Daphnia pulex: one gene and its partners. The protein of the gene in region 1 interacts with the protein of each later gene in a pairwise test. Links are inferred from orthologs where the notes say so. Each region holds a gene or a part of one and is shown in the gene's direction. Other genes may lie near its edges.

The links.
Region 2: the proteins of small glutamine-rich tetratricopeptide repeat-containing protein beta-like (region 1) and translocon-associated protein subunit delta-like interact in a two-hybrid assay, tested with the Caenorhabditis elegans proteins (2 studies listed by BioGRID). The link is inferred for Daphnia pulex from reciprocal best matches to the Caenorhabditis elegans genes sgt-1 and trap-4.
Region 3: the proteins of small glutamine-rich tetratricopeptide repeat-containing protein beta-like (region 1) and metaxin-1-like interact in a two-hybrid assay, tested with the Caenorhabditis elegans proteins (2 studies listed by BioGRID). The link is inferred for Daphnia pulex from reciprocal best matches to the Caenorhabditis elegans genes sgt-1 and mtx-1.
Region 4: the proteins of small glutamine-rich tetratricopeptide repeat-containing protein beta-like (region 1) and soluble calcium-activated nucleotidase 1-like interact in a two-hybrid assay, tested with the Caenorhabditis elegans proteins (2 studies listed by BioGRID). The link is inferred for Daphnia pulex from reciprocal best matches to the Caenorhabditis elegans genes sgt-1 and apy-1.

What each region holds. Positions count from the first base shown.
Region 1 is NC_060019.1:12,396,163-12,401,325, forward strand, and holds small glutamine-rich tetratricopeptide repeat-containing protein beta-like, read left to right. Parts: upstream 1-1,805; 5' UTR 1,806-1,967; intron 1,968-2,019; exon of another isoform or gene 2,020-2,041; 5' UTR 2,042-2,042; coding exon 2,043-2,129; intron 2,130-2,199; coding exon 2,200-2,322; intron 2,323-2,389; coding exon 2,390-2,511; intron 2,512-2,567; coding exon 2,568-2,717; intron 2,718-2,808; coding exon 2,809-3,020; intron 3,021-3,092; coding exon 3,093-3,144; intron 3,145-3,289; coding exon 3,290-3,352; intron 3,353-3,426; coding exon 3,427-3,565; 3' UTR 3,566-3,830; downstream 3,831-5,163. Other genes in the region: uncharacterized protein LOC124190023, read right to left, coding at 235-945, 1,054-1,185; galanin receptor type 2-like, read right to left, coding at 4,673-4,842, 4,947-5,077.
Region 2 is NC_060026.1:14,622,873-14,627,113, reverse strand, and holds translocon-associated protein subunit delta-like, read left to right. Parts: upstream 1-1,694; 5' UTR 1,695-1,800; coding exon 1,801-1,858; intron 1,859-2,220; coding exon 2,221-2,339; intron 2,340-2,400; coding exon 2,401-2,565; intron 2,566-2,629; coding exon 2,630-2,695; intron 2,696-2,761; coding exon 2,762-2,866; 3' UTR 2,867-2,935; downstream 2,936-4,241. Other genes in the region: zinc finger Ran-binding domain-containing protein 2-like, read right to left, coding at 3,152-3,275, 3,520-3,579, 3,638-3,864, 3,932-4,047, 4,108-4,190.
Region 3 is NC_060018.1:1,526,218-1,531,073, reverse strand, and holds metaxin-1-like, read left to right. Parts: upstream 1-2,288; 5' UTR 2,289-2,415; coding exon 2,416-2,502; intron 2,503-2,584; coding exon 2,585-2,731; intron 2,732-2,799; coding exon 2,800-3,069; intron 3,070-3,134; coding exon 3,135-3,369; intron 3,370-3,437; coding exon 3,438-3,592; intron 3,593-3,661; coding exon 3,662-3,694; 3' UTR 3,695-3,837; downstream 3,838-4,856. Other genes in the region: protein shisa-4-like, read right to left, coding at 1-62, 475-498, 670-737, 792-880, 957-1,026.
Region 4 is NC_060023.1:1,872,460-1,877,523, forward strand, and holds soluble calcium-activated nucleotidase 1-like, read left to right. Parts: upstream 1-1,824; 5' UTR 1,825-1,825; coding exon 1,826-2,290; intron 2,291-2,348; coding exon 2,349-2,562; intron 2,563-2,638; coding exon 2,639-2,842; intron 2,843-2,929; coding exon 2,930-3,087; intron 3,088-3,171; coding exon 3,172-3,387; 3' UTR 3,388-3,648; downstream 3,649-5,064. Other genes in the region: WD repeat-containing protein 81-like, read right to left, coding at 45-213, 289-945, 1,007-1,139, 1,216-1,316. UniProt on the Caenorhabditis elegans protein: Hydrolyzes UDP and to a lesser extent GDP. By preventing the accumulation of NDP, may promote the reglucosylation of incompletely folded glycoproteins in the endoplasmic reticulum following the unfolded protein response.

The sequences.
Region 1 (5,163 bases):
GCTAGTAATAGATGAATATATTACATCTGCATCCCCTCAACATAATCCGATTCTGCAATTTGTATATTCAATTATGCTGTTTCGAAAAAAACTTCTATCGGATATTCGACTTTCGGTTACGGACCCACTGATGTATTATTCCACAAAAACACACAAAGAATTGCAAATAAGCATCAAGTCAAATCAAGTTTTAAATAAACAAAAAGTTTTGTATTGCACTTATAATCAGGGGAGTTACTTCTTGACTTTAAGGGATCCACATTGAAACTGTTCGCATTTTTGTACTTTGGTGAGGACGTGGTAGGAATCTTTGAGCTTTTCAGGAACATAATCCTCGACAGCTTTGGTTACCGTTTGAATTGTTTTGGAGAAGGAGCGGGACAAGGATCCAACTTCACACAGGAGACGCTGGATGCATTCCTGCGAGTTGATTGCGGCGTAAACAACTTGGGTCAGTCGTTCGACTTGGGCGATGCTCATCGCTGGAACAGCGGTGGAAATGTTCTTGTTCTTCTCCACTTGACGACGCTTGCGATCCTGGCTGTCTTGATTTAATTTGTTGTATTCGTTTTCATCTTGGTAGTCGTTTCCGTAGGCGCTGTCGTCGTAGTAAGGAGTTGTTTCGTAGATGTCAGTGTCGTTTGAAGCTAAAGGAAGCGGTCGTCTGCCTCCACCACCTCCTCCGCCACCTCCTCCCAGTACAACAACAACCACTGCAATGATGGGAAGTAAAACGGGAAGAACGAATATGAGTGGCAACGCCAAGAACTTGGTGACCAGACCACCGCCACCTCCTCCACCGGCGGAAGGAGGATCGCCGGGGATGACCAACGGAGTCAAAGGGATCGGAGCATATTCGTCACCATAAGACGGAGTTGTGTAATAAGATGGGGGAGCGTAAGATGGGGGAGGGACTGCATAAGGCATCGGGGCGTAGGAAGCCATCTATTACAAAAAGAGAAATAAAAAATAATGATATCATCTTATCTGTTTTTAACTTTGGTACTTTACAAATTAAATTAAATGCTATTGAATAAAATCTTAGTATCTTACTATTGAGTTTGCTGATGAGTGGATATCTTTTCTGTGGAAGATGAACTGATTGTGGTGTCGATTGGACATTCGCCGTCGTCTTATATAGCGCGGCTCCACGAATTTGCGAACGCTATTAGACAATTTCGTCATTAACCTTAACGTCTACCTGGAAAGAAGCTATTAGGAGGAGCAGGCGATTAAGTAAGGAGGGGGAGCGAGACTATTAACATATCTTTTTACACTTTTTCCGTTTTTTCTCAAAATCAATCGAGTTAATGACCAAATCGAGTCTGTGACCAGAGTGGCAGATTCACTAAAATCCATCATTCATTACACAAAAATTTCGTTATTTTTTATAATTAATCTTTTATTTAAGATTTGTTGAAATTGCTGGTGAAACATTGTTATTCAAGGGGTTTGTCGACTAACGTCCAAACCTCTAGGGTCCAATCGACAAAATCCGCCGCTGCAGAAGATTGCCTACTCAAAAGCGCCAGGTGTCCGCGGCGGATTTTGTCGGTAACTAATAACTAAGAGGGTGTCACGGTCAGATTTCTCGGATAGTCCGTCTTGCTAAATTCATTTCTTAGAATACAGTTAGTCATAATTTAGTCTAGTCATCAGTTAGTCTTTGAGGTCATAAATTATTCTTTAATCCACTACTCTGCTCTGGACCTCTGGTATTGCATTGGCATTTAGTTGAGCAGGGTAGGGATACGAGCGCTAGTTACCAGTCTCTGGATGGAGTCGGTTGGCCTTAAACTTATGAGGACGGTGCTTAACCGTCCGTGTTCGCCTGCTAAAATATTTTCGCCAATCATCACGGTAGTCGTATTACATATCCTAAGTGAAAGGAACACGAACGAAAAAACTCGACACGTGTGTCAACATTTTACTGGTCCTGTCACTTTTATTCCGTCGATTTGCTAAAGGTATTGCCAAGTGTCAATACTCCTGTGAAGAATCAAAATCTAAAGGTATCAGTTTTGATCCAAACATCTTTCAGAATGTCCTCTGTAAAGCGGCTAGCTCTGGCGATCGTGCAATTTCTAGCTGAGCAAAAACAATACGGAAACTTGTCACCTGACGCTCAGGTAGATTTAACACCAAATTTTCATGTTCTTATATTTTTAAATGTTTGACTATTGTACAATCTATATGCAGGAAAGTTTAGAGGTTGCTGTGCAGTGTTTAGAAACTGCTTTTGAACTGACACCTGAAGACGCAACATCTCTAAGTGTCTCCAAATCTTTGCTCGATATTTTTCATGATGCTGTTGCTTCTGAAGTGAGTTTTATATTTTAAATACTCCAATCTAACATGATTTATTATCAAGTCTCTTGTTTGACTTCAGATACCAACCTTTCCTGCTGAAGTACCCGAAGACATCAAACTTCAAGCTGAAAAACTAAAAAATGAAGGAAACAATCTGATGAAATCTGAGCAATTTACTGAAGCTCTGGTGTGCTATTCAAAGTAAGCTCTCAATATCTGTAATGTATTTTGATGTTAAATTAATGCTTTGTTTTTAGGGCCATTGAGTTGGATGGGAGAAATGCAGTCTATTTCTGCAACAGAGCTGCAGCACATAGTAAGCTCAATCAGCATCAGTCTGCCATTGATGATTGTAAAAAAGCAATTACTATTGATCCTCTCTACAGCAAAGCTTATGGCCGAATGGGGTAATCCACTTTTCTGTTTCACTCAACATTGACTAATTTTTACTAATTGTGCTCAATCTATTAACATTTAAACATTCTTCTTTATGTTTAGCTTGGCTCATGCAAGTCTCAATCAACATGGTGATGCTGTTAGGTGCTATGAACGTGCTGTTCAACTGGAGCCAGAGAATGAAAGCTACCAAAGTAATCTTCAAATCGCCGAAGAAAAGCTTAAACAGACTGGCGGAGCTGAACGTCTTCCCGGCATGGGTCCTGGTATGGGTATCCCAGGGCTTGATGTGGGAGCTATGCTCAACAATCCAGGTAGATTGTGTGTTAAATGTTTTAAACTTTGTAGCTCATTGAGCTAAATTTTTAATATTTTTTTTTTTTTAGGTTTGATGTCTATGGCCCAGCAAATGTTAAGCAATCCAAATATGCAGCAACTGTAAGTTTCTCTTTTGCCGTGATTTTTTTTAAGAAAATATATCTTGACGTGACTTCAACTGATATTTTAAATTAAATACTACGTATTCATATTTATGTCAAAAATTGCATTGTTTATTATTTTATTTTATTTCATTTATTTTTAGGATGAATCAAATGATGACTGGGTCTGCACAAGGAGGTGGTGGGCTGGAATCGCTGCTTCAAGTGTAAGATACACATTTAGACAAATTGAGATGAATGTATTCTGATCGGCCGACATATTTTTCCTTCTTCTTGGCAGTGGACAGCAGTTGGCTCATCAGATGCAGGCAACCAATCCCGAATTGGTCGAGCAACTGAGGAGGCAGATGGGCGGACCTGGAGGTGGACCCAATCCGTTTGACCCGTCCTCTGAACCGGAGGCCAAGGATCCTCAGTAAAATTCAGTACCTCAGTTCTAACAACTGGATGGCCCAGTTTATTGCTAGGATATCCCCCCCCCCCTAACTCAACCCTTCTTCACTATGTTTCATCTCCATTTTTCATTGTTTTTTTTTATATCACTGCAACCTGTCGGTAGTATCATACAGTGAAGCACGTAATAGTAATATGTATTCAACGATTCCTGCTTCAAATGCATACGAATGTGTACGAATTGATGAGAAACGCAGGCGGTAATGAGTAAAAAGAAAAAATGGAGCATCACATATTCTGCGTTTCATACCAATATTTGCTCGAAATCGAGATTAAAATTACCATTACATTAGTCGACGGCAATTCAGCGGGAATAGATTAAAGCATTTGAATTCTGACAATAATCGGTCGAAACATTCTTAATCGGTTTCACACTGCAGGGCCGTTAGTTTTTTTACAGTTCAAGAAAACAATTTTTCCACTGATTCAACTTTTTGCCAGAGATGGAAAGAGCAAATAAATTGTTTTTTATTGTGCATGTTATAAACTATGTAGTGGCCGAAGCAATTAAGTATCATAGATTTTTAGAAATGCCTTAATTCAAGTTCAAAACTTCCAACTATTCAGGTAATTGATATTCTTTCTTGTTAATATCATGTTAATATCAGATTAAGATTTTGTTTATAGGGCGAATGAACAGGTTCTGACTGTTTCAACTTGTTACAAAGGTAAAAATTCTTAAAAAAAAAACCCAAAAACGGGTTGGTTGTTAGTTTGACAAGTTTTTTTTTTCTTTTTTAAATTAGATAACATTAAAGATAGTGTGTATTGTTTTCCTTCATCCGCGTACAAAGAGATGAATACGTGCAACATGGAAACGTGACGAAAATGAAGTGAAACACGTTCAAACATTGACGATATCAAGATGGTGATATCTGACATGAAATAACGAGATTTTTTGGTTTCAGGTTTACCAGTAATGAGTATTAGTGGGGAGGTGGGGTTAGGGGGGGGGGAGGGATGAATATCGTGTTATCGAAACGGGGGCTCTTTATTTTCGTCAAAAATAAATCCTCCCTATATATATATATAACGTTGAGATCATACATCGAAAATGTGTAATTCTATTTCTCTCAAATGTCTTCCGTACTAAACAGCCCCGGCCGTTCTTGGTAGAGAGAGTTGCGCGGAATGGCCGTCGCTAAAGTCGCTTCGGTCGTGGCTATCGAGACGCAGTACGCCGACGTGTGACCAAGTGTCCCGTGTCTCCGAAGTCCCGTTCCATTGCTCATTTCAAACATGACTAAAAAATAAATAAATAAATAAAAAGAAACATTTAATTATAAAAAAAATGTCGTTGAACAATCAAGACATTTTAGTCTTAACTCTTATCTACAAAATACGAACCCGAGTTTGGACGAGTGTTGTGGGCGTCGTCGTCTTCACAGCAGCGGACGAGACAGCCACACATTTGAGAGAATCTTCGTCTCCGGGTGCAACACCGAACCATCATTCGTCGGAAATTTGTCGACATGAAACTATTTGAAAAAATAAAACAGGCCGATGATAATTAACAATTTGCCTTTAATTACTTGATTTAAAATTCAAAAATAAGAAATAGCTT
Region 2 (4,241 bases), on another chromosome or scaffold:
ACACATAGACACACAGCCCGTAACCAAGGAATCAAGAACATATCGTGAGTTGCGCGGGCTATACTAAAACAAAAAAAAAATTTATATCCCCGACATTTGGTCGTGTGTGTCGTGTCGTCTGTTATATTGGGGGGTGGTTTAAGAATGGGGTGCAAAGAAATTATGTTTTTTTTTTTTCTTTTCTTTTTCCAATATTTTTGTGTGTGTGTTTTCTTTCAGAAAAACAAAAGAAAGAAGAAAAATAATGTTGGTCTCTCCCGATCATGTTTCAATCGGTTTCAATTGCAAAATGTGTGTCACTCCTTAAATTTTTGTTTTTTTTCTTCCCATGTTTTGTTGTCCCACGAAATGATGGAAAATGATCGTGTTCTGATTTTGTGTCTGTGTGTGCGCGTTTTTGTTTTTTTGTCTCTAATTTTTGTTTCGTTTTCTTCTCCCGCGTGCTATTGGCTAGCGCTCGGTCCCGCCATTTCGATTCTACAACCGATTGACGTGTTGTTTCGCTCAGCGCCCCCCCTCTCAATCCTCCTCCCTCTCGGTGTAATCGATAAATGATGATTGCGTGTGAGAGTTTAAATAAAAAACAAAAATTGTTCCGCTCGTCTGCGTTTTATTTCGTGGAATTTTTTTCTTCTTCCCGATTCTTCGACGGCGCATTCCTCGTGAAAATGTGAAGAAAGAAAAACGTGTTTACTCACTGGGAACCGACCATTGTGCGTGTGTGTGTGTATCTTGTTTATAGATGGAGAAATTCACCAAATCGAGTCATATATATATATAGTAGAGCCGGTAGTCCCGCCTCTCGTGTGGCGGCGCGGGATATACACTCTCACGAACGGGCAATATCTTTTGAATTCGCCCGTTTGTGGTGGGCGGCCATGAAATGATACGTACCCAGGGCGGACAAGAATGGGCTCGCAAGAAAAGCACACGAGTTTTACTTGACTCTTTTACTTAATAGTACCTTTTGATATTGTATGTAATAAACATGAAGAAAAGAAAAGAAGCTTTTGTTGAAATAACCCCCTCATGCCTCAACATGTTCATTTTTCTTTTGACATGAAATTCTTCCCACCACCACCGAAACAATTTGACGGTTGTGACCTTTCGTCGTTGGCGGAAAATTTGAATCTCTTCATTCCGGTTTGCGCTGTGACGATAATTCTAGACGGAATAATGGCAACGGCTGTGTTTATATTTACGTTGACGGAAGGTATTTGATCCGAAGCAAAAATTCGGGGAATTAAGAATTTATTCATATGGCTGCCAAGTTCAATGTCACTCTGCTGTTTTGGTGAAACATCTGCTGCTCCGTGATATGTTTTGTTTCGTGCGTTCATTATTTATTCATTATGCTGCGGGAATAATATAGTTCTTTTTACTATATTTTTATGCTAATGTTTATCATTATTTATTAGGTTCATAAGCGGTCACGGACTCACGGTGTTTTTTGTTGTTGTTGTTGTCACGAAGGATTGTTCGTTTCTTCGCTAGATGGCGGGAATGGACGACGTGCCAATCTTTTTATTTTACTTTGTCAAACAGAGACATTAACTGCAATGTTAATTTTTTTAATTATCAGAAGATTATTCTTCATTTTATCTAATTATTTTAATGTTTTATTGAAATTAAATCAATTTGAGTGAAATCTAGACAAACAAATCTGGCAGCACACGTAAACATCATCAAACGTGGCCTATACGCCTCTGGTGGCCAAAAATTAAACCATCCAGTTGCTGTCAAAAACCAACGAAAATTTGTAACAACCACTGTCCATTCGCAATCCTTTTGAATCCCATCATGTCTTGCAAATTGTTGGTCGTGTTTTCCATCGCCGTTTGTTTCTCCGCTGTCTCAGGTATCTATTTTTGTAACAATCATTATTTTCGGAGTAGCCTTCCTATTTAAACCGTCCATGGATAGTTTCGAAGCCGGTCTGGAAAATAAGAAATTTGTGATTATCTTCCCATATTGCAACTCTATTTAGATACTATATAAGTTTTCAGAAACAGGATTTTAATTAACTCTATTAAAGAAAAGCTGATTTGTTTTTAGTATGAATTTTGGGATCTCAGTAACGGGGCAAAGAACTTGAAATGGGGACACCAAGTATTTAAACCAAATTAGTTGTATGTTATATTATTTAGGGGAAGATACATGAGTTCTCAATTAATTGTAATAGTGTGAAACAAATCTGATTATCTATTTCATTATTTTCAGCTTCCTCCTGCTCAAGTCCAAGTTTGACCTCCACATCTTTCACCACTCTCGATGGCACCATTCTCACAAATATCGCCTATGTCTCCCAGTTTAAACTGAGCTGCGATGGAGAGCCTGCTGTAAGACATTCCTGTTTTTATTAAATTAACTGAAATTTCACAAGCTTTACCAAATATACAGGATATCCCACTGTATGCCGAGGTTGGTGGCAAACCCTTGTCTGTTGTAAAGAGCAAGGAAACCAACGAATATGTTGTCAGCTGGTTGGAGGAAACCAAGAAAGCTCCCCGTGGAAACTTTGAAATCAAAGTCTACGATGATGAAGGTTACGCTGCCGTTCGCAAGGTAAATAATATTCATTAGTCGAACCCCTACTTCCTACCTGAAAATTAACTCATTCATCTTTTAGGCTCAACGCAACGGTGAAGACACCTCCGCTGTTCCAACTGTCGGTGTTGTGGTCCTGTACCATCCCGTAAGCTAAAGAAACCTTAAATCTTATCTGATTTTCTAAACTAAACGAGTCGTGATTTCATTTCAGGGTGCCTACACTGGACCGTGGATCAACTCTGAATTAGCTGCTGTTATTGTTGCATTTGGTGTGTTATACTACGCCGTGACAACAAAGACGAAACTGGAGGCATAAGAAATGCAAAGTTTGGAAGTAATTGTTTATTTTTCTGCCATGAGAAAATAAATTGCAGGAAAAGGTGAAGATAATGTTACTATCAAAATCTATTATGGGTGTAAAAGGGTAATTTTGCAAGCGATGCAGTTGATCATCAACTCAAATTGCTTTTGAGTAAAGTTGAAGAAGTTTAGCGACGTCTGCGGCTTCTAGAACGAGACCTAGTATACAAGAAGAGGAACTTGTCTCAATATTCGCAATAGTTAATCAACATGTTTGACGATTGTTCTGTTTGTGAAGCAACTAAAAATGAAAGCCCTTGATTGGCAAACCAAACCTGGACCGAGAACGGCTTCTAGAACGGTCGCTTGAAGATCTTGAACGGCGTCGGCGGCGATCACTGCGTTTATCTGACCTTCTGCTCCTGCTAAAGTGGAGAAATTTCTACGTAATCTCAAAATTTCGGTCGATAAAAAAAACACGTGTGTGGACAATTGTTTCGAATAACCGTTTGGGTTCGAACTAGATACGGACCTTACAAGCGGTTACCTCAACCACATTGACAAGAATGATAGTTTAGCCGTTCAAAAATAATTTTGGAGGTGTTTTGGAATCAACAGAAAAACAAAAGTTGTTTGCCCGATAGCCAAATTGTCGCTACCGGGTGTTACCTTGACCTAGAACCGGATCGATCACGAGAAGACGACCTGGAACGACCGGGAGACCTGGATCTGCCAAAATGTAAACAGCATGAGCTCAATTCAATAGTGGTAAAAGATAACTCAATACTTTTCAGAGTGACGCACTCCGCTGGATTTGCTGCCATTTTCTGATTTTACTGGAGCATCGTTGACAGGTGATGATTTCTTTTCTTCGGGATTCTCGTTACTTTCGTCACCCCAACCACTAAGATCGTATTTTGATAAATCTCCATCATCATCATCTTCTTCCTCATCCTCCTCCTCGTCGTCTAATGTTTTTGGTTCACGTGATGTTGAAGGTAACTCATCAGAGTTCTAACGTGACAACAAAAAAAGCTTTCAATCAAAACTTACTTTTAAAGTTTAAGTTTACAGAACCTACCACATCATTTTTCCTGAACTTTTTCTTGATACGTCCGAATTCATCAAATTCATCATCTGACTCTTCTCTTTCTTTATACTCTACTGTTCCACGTTCATTGTAGCCTCCTCCATAACCTACACACATTCACAGTTAGGATAAGACACATTTCCAAATGTCTTGTCCATTGGAATTACCTGTTCGTTCTTCCACTTCTCCAAACCTTGGGGCATTGCATACATTGCAAGTTCCTCTTCTGGCCCAGTTTACATTTCCACATCTGAAATAAATAGTACATTAGAAATAGCACAAACAGGTTTAAATTTTAAGA
Region 3 (4,856 bases), on another chromosome or scaffold:
TTACAAAGAGGATGATCAAAAAACCAAGAACTCCGGCGATGGTTGCGATAATAGATCCAATGCTGTAAAGAAATGAATTATTGAATTAATGGATCAATATTGTTTTATTCCATCAATTACACTTCACTTCCCGAGTAAAATACAAATAGGATACGCGTAAAACTTTAAAATATTTATGTAAAATAATATGCCAAAAATACTGTTATTAGCCGACTTTAATTCTTCTGCGTAAAAATTGGAAAACAATCCGATATGAGATTTTAGAACAACCGTATCCTATTTTACGTACTTTTCTCATTTCAGTTACATTTTAAAAATGTACTTTACAGTTGTAAATTAATGGAGAGGAAGAACATCAAGCAGATTATGGGATGCATAATTAATTAATAAGAAATACCACAAATAGATTTCCCAAAAAGGATATAGTGGACAAAGATGTCTACTGTTTGAAACCAAATCTTAACATAAGCTAACCTTCGCAAAGGGTTCCTCAGGGCACTTGTTCCATTCCAATAATATAATTTTTTAAATTTCCATCACACAATGGAAATTAATAACACAAAAAAACAAAAACTATGAATTAGGATTCACTATATCAAGACATCACACAATTATCAAACTAACAAAAAGTTTAAGTAAACATACAGCATGTAAAAAAAAGTTACTAACTTGTCTATTGTAAGACCTCGGCAGCAGAACTGTCCTCCAAGGTCATCATCATCTCCACAACAGAATACCTATGTGTTAAAATTAGTTTTGTTGTTCATCAGAATTTAAGTGGAGAACTGTACCATGTCTGGAGTTTGCCCGGGTTCAGGACATGTGAAGTAGCTTTTTACTCCAAATATACTTTTTCGTTTGCACATTTTATATCCATCACCTGTTATTGCGATAATTAAAAGAAGATGTAAGAAATAAGTAGAGGCATAACTGATGGGAAAAACTGTTTTTCTTACCATTCTGTAAACAAACCACAAAGAAAACCATAAAGACAAATAGCACTGTTGCAAATCTAGGATTTGCCATATTGATGTTTCACTGCAGAAAGTTGGGAGTGTCAATCCTAATGAGAAACGTCAGAAAATTATGAAAGGAGGGTTGGATCAGCTTTAAGTGTGTTTTTTTAGAGATCCAGATTCTATGAATGGCTAGTGATGAATGAACGGATGACTAATACAAAATTTCGTGAAACTTTCACGGAATTACTTCATTCTACGTCAACCCAAGGTTTTGTCTTTCATGGGTGTTGTTGCACAAGAAACAAACAGTTGATTTTTACCAGCGAGTCTTCTGCGAAGGCCAACGCACGAAGAGTCAAGACGCGACAAGACTTTCTCTGAAGGTTGTTGGGGCAAGGATGGAAAAAACCAACAACCAACAACACATGGATCGGAAAATGTAGCTAAGCAGTAGCCAAAGGCTCGCTGCCGGCAGTTCATGTGGAAAGGCTTATGCTTATGTAGTTCAATAATTAACGTTTAAAATATCATGCATTCATGTTTCATGTTCATGCTTGAAGACTAAAAAATGCAGACGTGTAACTAAAACTCTGATTGGAATTTTGTTGTCGTGACGTAAAATGACCACTGGGAATCTTGTTTTACAAGGACGAAGTATGAAATGAGACATGGGAAATTGGCAATTCCCCAAAACTGCTATTCAACATATTTGAATAGGCTACTCTGTATATAGGTCCGCCCATGTAATACTTAAAACTTAAAATGTGAAAATGAATGAATAGATCGCGATTGTGAATTCGGGAAACCCTTCGATTAAAAATGGGAGGGACTGCCGGCCGCAATGTCGCATCCGCATTTCCGACCCCATTTTCCGATATGGATTCTATCCTAGACGAAGCTGTCCCCCACCCACCATCCGATAAAATGCATTTTCTACTCAGAGTGATAGGAACTAGAGGGTTCGTTCGAAAATCAAACGGTTTTCCTTGTTATTTTATATATTTTTGAGCGTATGGGTTGCAGGGGAAGCTCATGCGTGCATCGAGAGATTGGATTTTTCTACAAGGACGAAACCACTGACGCTTTCGCTTGATACAGCGTAACGTTTTCATAAAATTTTGTTTTAAACATTTCATATTTGAATTTTGAATTTTTGGGTTAGATATAACCGTACCAATCATAATATTTTTCGTTTATTGTAAAAAGAAAATTAAATTAATAATCATTCGTTCAAATATTTTCCGCCAGAGGCGCTAGCGAGAAGGACAAAATGGCTCAGAATTTGCCGCAACTCTTAAAGGAATACTTGGGCCCTTAATCTATAAAGTAAGTAAGCTTAGCAGACGCTTGCACTTGCCAAGATCCCGAGATTGTAGCATGTAACTTTGTTTATGTTGTTTTTTTAAAAAGCCCGTGTTACAATTGTGGATTTAAAGGATTCATTCCTATATTTGTGATGGCTTCACATCCAGTCATGGAACTTGATATTTGGAAAGGGGAATGGGGCCTACCATCAATTGACGTTCATTGCTTAGAAGTCATGGTAAGGCAAACAATAATAGGGTAAAATTTAACAAAAAATCCACGTTAGATAACACATTCTTTTTTTTTTTTACTCTTGTTAGACCTATGCCAAATTCTCCGGAACACGGCTGGTAACGAAGTCGACCAATAATCCTTTAAGAACACCCACTGGCTCTTTACCAGTTTTTCAACACGAGAATGAGTGCCTGACAAAATTTGGTGAAATATCAGCTTACCTCAGGAAGAATGTATAGGAATCTATTTTTTATATAATTGTTAATCTATAAATTAAAGATTTTTTGTTTTTCAAAATTAGAACCATACTGCAGATTTTGAACTATCTCCAAAACAGTGTGCTGAAGCATTTGCATACTCTCATCTCATTTATGAGAAGCTTGCTCCAGCACTTCAATTTGTGTGGTGGATTGATTCTAAAAATTTTGTTGAGTTCAGTCGTCCACTTTATGCCAAGCTTTTACCATTCCCTTTAAATTTCTATTATCCTGGTCAATATGAAAAACATGCTAAACAACTAATGGTTTCACTGTATCCTGAAGAAGAGGATTTTTCTGTCATTGAAACAGCAGTAAGTAAACTTGACGTAATTAAAACTGGTATTATTTGTATAACAGGGACTTTATTTTTTGCCAGGTTTATAGACAAGCTGAAGAATGTCTGAGCCTTTTAGCCACTAAACTTGGTGAAAAAGAATATTTTTTTGGACAATCGCCTTCGTCTTTGGATGCTGTAGTATTTGCTCACTTAGCTCCGTTATTGAAAGCTCCCCTGCCCAGTGCTGCTCTGCAAAACCACTTAAAAGCATGTACTAATCTCACTCGCTTCGTGGGACGTATATTGCAGCGATTTTTCCCGAAAGAAGTCAAGGGTACAGTTAAATTCTCAATGTTTCCTGCGACTATTCTTTATACATCTTCTTTTTTTGTCTTTCTGCTTTAGAGCAAGAACAGAAAGAGCGACAGCAAACTGCTAAGCAAGAAGCTCCATATTCTGATACTGACTTTCCAAACAAGTTGCGGAACATAAGTATTGCTGCGCTAGTTTCCTTCATCGCGATGATTGCCTATGCCACATCGGCCGGCATCATACAGGTAAATCGATTAATCGATAATTGATTTTAATACGTCACCCACTAACCTAGTGATTCGGCATTTTATTAGGTGGTGCCTGAAAGCGACGAGGATGAAGAGTGATTGCACTTCACGTCAATAGGATGAATAGTGTCCGTACTCATTATGCTTTTTTCAGTAGACACATGTGATCAAGTCCAGCTTGAAAAGAAAAAGCCTTTCCATACCATCAGAGTCGAATAAATCTGTGTGTATTTAGTCATCAAGCCCAACAAGTAAATCAAAACAATTTCATCGTGTTCATACGGGGGAGGATTGCCAATTTTTTTTTTTTTTATTTTATAATAAGAAAACTTTACTGTCGAGGAAACAAAATAAGAAATACATGAGGGGTGGGATGGTAGAAAGGAAACTCGGCGGACGCAATGGATAGGATACGTAAACTTTGGACTTTGGTAGATCTACACATGGGGGGGGGGGGGAAACAAGCGCTCTCGACGCGCTGTATCAGTTCCGTGATGCTCTGAATTGGGTTCGGAAAAGTGACGACGCTCTCAGCGTTTTCATGGGGCTCTCATGCGGAACGTATATATATATAGCTGATATTTCATGATGACTTGTACATTTTGTTCTTCCATGATTCTCTTTTCACCAGTCGCGCATTGTAATTCTTTCTTAAATGTTGGGAACTCTCGGGGGAAATTTGTCCGAGTCATGCCACCCGGATCGTCCAGGCAGTGTTGGGTCTCTGCACACACATTTTTATTGTTACCGATGAAATAACCCCGCCGCCGTCGCGGCACGCACTCTCTTTCGCTATCGACGATGAGTAAATTCGCTGTTGTTATTTTTTCTTGTCTTCGTAGATAGGTGCATTCAAATCGTGGGGTCGGGAAATTTGTTCTCTCTCTCTCTCCTCATTCCGCCGATGCCCATCACCTAAATAGCGCCGATGTTTTCTTCCAAGAGGTTTTTAGAAGCCGATAGTATGTAGCGTGCTGTAAACTGACGGTGAGGAGTTGAAGGGAGTACATGTACACAATCGGACAGGAAATTTGTTCTTTGTTTTTTTACATAACAGAGACAGAAGAAACACACGGGGGTAAAAATAAAGGCGGCCATCCAATTCACTCTCAAATATTTCGGAGCTACAAAAAGTTACAAATATTAAGTGCATTATATTATATAGGTACACATTTCTCTTTAACTACGGATTACTGCGCAAACGGCGCACAACTACGACGTTTACCCTTTGAAAACGTCGTTTAGGAAATTGCGAAATTAC
Region 4 (5,064 bases), on another chromosome or scaffold:
CTATCAAATTTAACCGTTTAATGAAACAATGATAAGATTATAACCTTTGTTCAGTCGAAACTTTGACTTGGCCAAGTCTCTCCAATTACCGAAAGGTGAACTGAGATCAGAAATCCAAGGCAAAACGGGATGATTGAAAGGATTATTAATTTGACGACCAGCCAGATCGTTCAAGGCCATTAAGTAGTCGTAATTTGATAGACAACCTCGAACCTAATAACGATTTGAAAAATACCATTGAAGCAAATGCGAACGTCAGATAATGTTAACAGTAGATGATAAACATACCCATGACGTTGTCAGTTCTTGAAGACTAGCTTCCTGTTTTGTTGGCTGAACGGGTTCTAGTGGAATCAAACTAGAGGCTAGTGCAGGAAGAACTTTAAGACTCAAACTTTCGTTGATGAAAAAATGTTGCCACGAAACCCCTTCGACAAAAAGGGATCGGTCTTGCATCTCCTTGACGGCGTGCAACATTTGAAACAACAAGAACATGGGCTTCACGCTATTTGAACTTAGAAGCGAGGGACTAAGACTGAGGCACTGGTGCACACTGTGTGGAATGTGTTCTGTGATCACAAAAAAGTTGGATGAACATTCAAATACTCCAAACGCTTGCAAAACACAGCTCGGTGACTGGCTAGTAGGATGGAGGACTGAACCACTTTCCAAGGAAATTATGGGGCAGCTGAACACCCTCGCTAGCAGTGAACTAAGAGATTCCTGCCAGCTTGCATTTTTGGGATTGCTGCGCCGACCTCTGTTCAAGGCAAAAGGCCTGTACGCTTCTGGAAACTTTTTCTGTGACTCTTTCCACAGGTTCTTGAAGTTTGTCTGAGACACATAGTGAAGGTACTGTGAGTAGGTGAGGTCCTTCACATCTAGTCCCATGTCTGGGTGGATGCTGGATGTGGATAGAACTGGATGATTACATTTAGGAATAACCTGTTGGTAGTAACAAGGTGTTAATAGAAATGAAAAGATGTATGAAAAATCGTCTACTAACATTTATGTACACTAATATCCAATCTGGGCTAATAAGAGATTCTGAGTCCCACAGAAAAGCCTGCACTTCATCTGGAGAATAAGTAGCATGATTTTCAAATTCATCTGGTAGCTTTAAATTTTTCTTTATATACCTGCAGAGGAGCCAAACAAATGTATGAAGTTTAAGAAAAATTTAAAGTTTCATTGGATTCATGGTAAGGTACTTACAAACACCATTTCTGGGGTAAGGCTGCTATATATACATCTTTAAGTTGTGTTTTTCTAATATACAATGGAGGAATGCATAGTTTTTCACTTATTAACTCCATAACAACAATTTAACAACTCCGAATAGAGACCATCTAATAAAAAAATCACTCGCAGTCAATCCGTCAGTCAGTCGAGTGTAAACAACACCCCCATGAGTGACATCTATGTACTGTAGCAGACGTCACGTAAATTATCATAAATCCGTTTGAATTAAAAATGAATAAAAGAACTTGGCAGAAACGAAAATCGAATTAAAACCTATCGGAATTAATAGTCACTGGAAATTTGAAGAGATTACAAAGTTCGTAATTCTTGCTTCCGAGTTCTGCTAAACTGCAGAACGATTAGAGACAGACGACGTAATTATAATAGCAGACGCCACGTGTACAAAAAAAAGTCTATCGAAATTCGGAAATTGTCGAGTGGGCAAACTGTCAAGTGTCAAAACACTTTGCCAGTTCCCACACACAGTGTCTGGTTGTTATAAGAACGAACAGCCTTTTGGCCGTGTTCTTTGTTATTTAATTACAGTTTATATTATAGTAACTTAAATGGATCGTAAGGAGATATGGTAGAATATACCAAACTTACTGTTAACGAACCAGGCTTGGAAAAAACCGACAGAATGCAGGACTGGAGGCAAGCCATCCAGATTCCGACTGCTTATCGCATCGGAAATAGCACAGTTCGACTCCAGTACCAGTTTGTTATGGGAGTTTTGGCTGTCGGAGTCATAGCACTGGTCATGTTTTACAACTCGTTCTCCCACAGCAAGCCCCACAACTCTTACATGCTGGAAAAACGAATTCCTTCAAATTACGAGAGTGATCACCTTCACAAGCATAATTTACCTGAGCCCAAACAAAGCAACTACAACTCCACTTATCCCTTGACCACCCCTGTACGGACAGAAAAGGGTGTACGCTACAAGATTGCCATAATATCTGATTTGGACACCAACTCGAAAAAGGAAGATGAATGGATAAGTTATTTAAAAACAGGCGCACTTTTTGTAGATATTGAAAAAAATAAGGTAATTCATTGTCTATTTTGTTTTCAAAGCTTTACCTACATTTAATTTCTTGCTGCAGGTTTCACTAGAGTGGGACCAGGATGAGCTTATGACATTGAAAACTACCCTTGCTCAAGGAGGAAGAGGAATGGAGTTGTCAGAACTGGTTGTGTTTAATGGTGCTCTTCTCGGTTTCGACGATAGAACCGGAACCATTTATCAAATTGATATCGCCTCGAAATTCGCCTATCCTTGGGTACTTTTGGTCGATGGGCATGGTCGCGTTGCCAAGGGTAATATTTCAAAAATCAACTGCTAGCTTCCGTCGTGTTATAGTAACGTTTATCTCTTTAACAAAAAATTGTCTAGGCTTCAAGAGTGAATGGGCGACTGTAAAGGATCAAAGCCTTTACGTCGGTGGTCTGGGTAAAGCCTGGACTACTCCGACAGGTGAATTGGTCAATTATCACCCGCAATATATCAAGAAAGTCACCACGACGGGTGAAGTCTCTCATATTGATTGGCACACGCGCTACGAAGCCCTGGCGAAAGCAGTCGACATTTCATTTCCAGGTATATTATCAACTACTATCTATACTAAAATGTATATATACTAGAATCGATATTCATCAAATATTTGATTGCTTCCACTTCACCAAGGCTACATAATCCACGAATCGGCTTCGTGGAGTTCTGTCCACAAGCGGTGGTTCTTCTTGCCCCGCCGGGAGAGTAAAGATCGTTATGACGAGAAACTGGACGAATCGAGAGGTTCGAATTTGATGCTCACCGCCGACGAGGAGTTCAGCGATATCAAGGTTAGCTGGGGGCTGTCATTCTTCCCATTCCTATATGTAGGCCAAGTCAATAAAGTATTAAACCCTTGTTCCAACAATAACCAGGCCAAGAGGATCGGCGACATCAGTCCCACCCACGGATTCTCCAGCTTCAAATTCGTGCCCAACACACACGACAGGCTGATAGTGGCTCTCAAATCGGAAGAGAACCAAGGCAAAACAGCCAGCTACATCATGGCCTTTGACATTGACGGAACGATCCTGCTGCCCGAGACTAAAATCGATGGCGATTTCAAATTCGAGGGAATCGAGTTTATTTAATTTCCGCTTCCAGCAGCAACCGTTGAATTGTTGGGTGTCTTTTTCCCACCCTATTATTATTATTTGCGCCATCACTTCTGACTTTGTTCACAGCTGTTTTTATCCTCTTTTCTTACCTGCCCGATTTGACTAGCGTGCAACGTGTCTCTTCATCCTTTCTTTCTTTCTTTTTGTTGTTGTTTCCCATTTTATGTTTCCCGTCTTCTAGGATGAATTCAAAATGCGAGATATTGTAAGATTGAATACACGCCAAATAATCAATTTCCCGTTACGCTATAGTGTTACTTTTTTTCGAATTGGCCGGAGGGCACGGATGATGCCCTCATGCGGGTTTTTAATTTTCCCCAAAAACTTTGAATCAAATCCTCCTCCGATCGGCTTTTTATTTTATTTATTTAAATTGATTTATTCAATTCATTTGCGCAAGACTTTTCTGACGCCCTGCCAGAAAGAGGTCCATCGATCTTATCTCACGGAAGCCATTCTCTTTTATTCGACCGAAAATAAAACAAAAACATCTGCGTCTTGTGGCTTTTTAACCTTCTCTCCTATACGTGGCAGCACAGCCGCCGTCAAGTTGCGTGAGCTCCAGAACATTCGCGTCCGTTGCTCAGCTCTGTTTTCTTTTCTTTTTTTTTTTCAGGTTCGTTTTTACTTCACGTCGTCCTAGCCTGGCAGCAGTCTGGGAACGGTCAAACATGAACAAGAGAGTCGACGGTCCAGACAGAATGAATCAAATAATCGATACTACTCTCTCTTCCAGCGCCCGTCGTATAAGAATACATCAACTCTGAAACATATACATTTCTGGGCGAAAAATTTCATCTGTCATTTGTTTAAAAAATGGAAAAATGAAAAAATGGAAATCGGAAGCTAATTTTCGATGGGAATGATAACACCTGTGTCCAGCCGAAATAAAAAAAAAGATGTGCAACTAATAAATAGACACACAAGAGGCCGGCCGGCCCGGAAACAAGACTTGCATGGTGACCGGGTTCGTTTGGGAACTTCATTGGCATCTGGTCCGATTCCCTCATCAATTTCCCCTTTTTTTCACGTTTCATCACCGCGAGCTCGGGGGGGGGTTATTGCATCAAAGTAGACGAGAGCTAGGCTTAAAGTCATCAAAGTATCTCTAGTCTTGAATTCATTCAAGAAAACAGAAATAGGAAGAATATAGTATATTATCTTGTGCATTTCGTGTGTTGAAATCAAAACGCGATGATATGTTATGCTGTGCTGCCCAGGGTCTTTTGTCAGTTCCGGGTCAAAAATGGCGCAGCAAATTGCATGTCCCTTTTTTTATTTTATTTTCCCAAGGAATTACATGCAGACGGCCAACACACACACCGACACACGGGTCTCTCCCCCAAGTGTATCGATCGTCCACGTGCGAGCGTCGTGATCAACCGCAGCTCAGACTTACAAGAAAAAATGTAATCACTTACAAATATAATTCCCTGGCACTAAAATTAGCAGACGACATTGAAACAATTTGATGCCAAGAATCGGCCAGATGGTTTGACAGATGATTCGAATGTGAACGCACCGCCATGAATTATATAACGTTTGCTGATATCATTAGAAAAAGAAAAATCATTTCCGTTGGAACCTACAGAATTTTAATTTTAAATTTAAATTCCAGGCGAAATAAAAACTTGTACCACCGCTGAACTG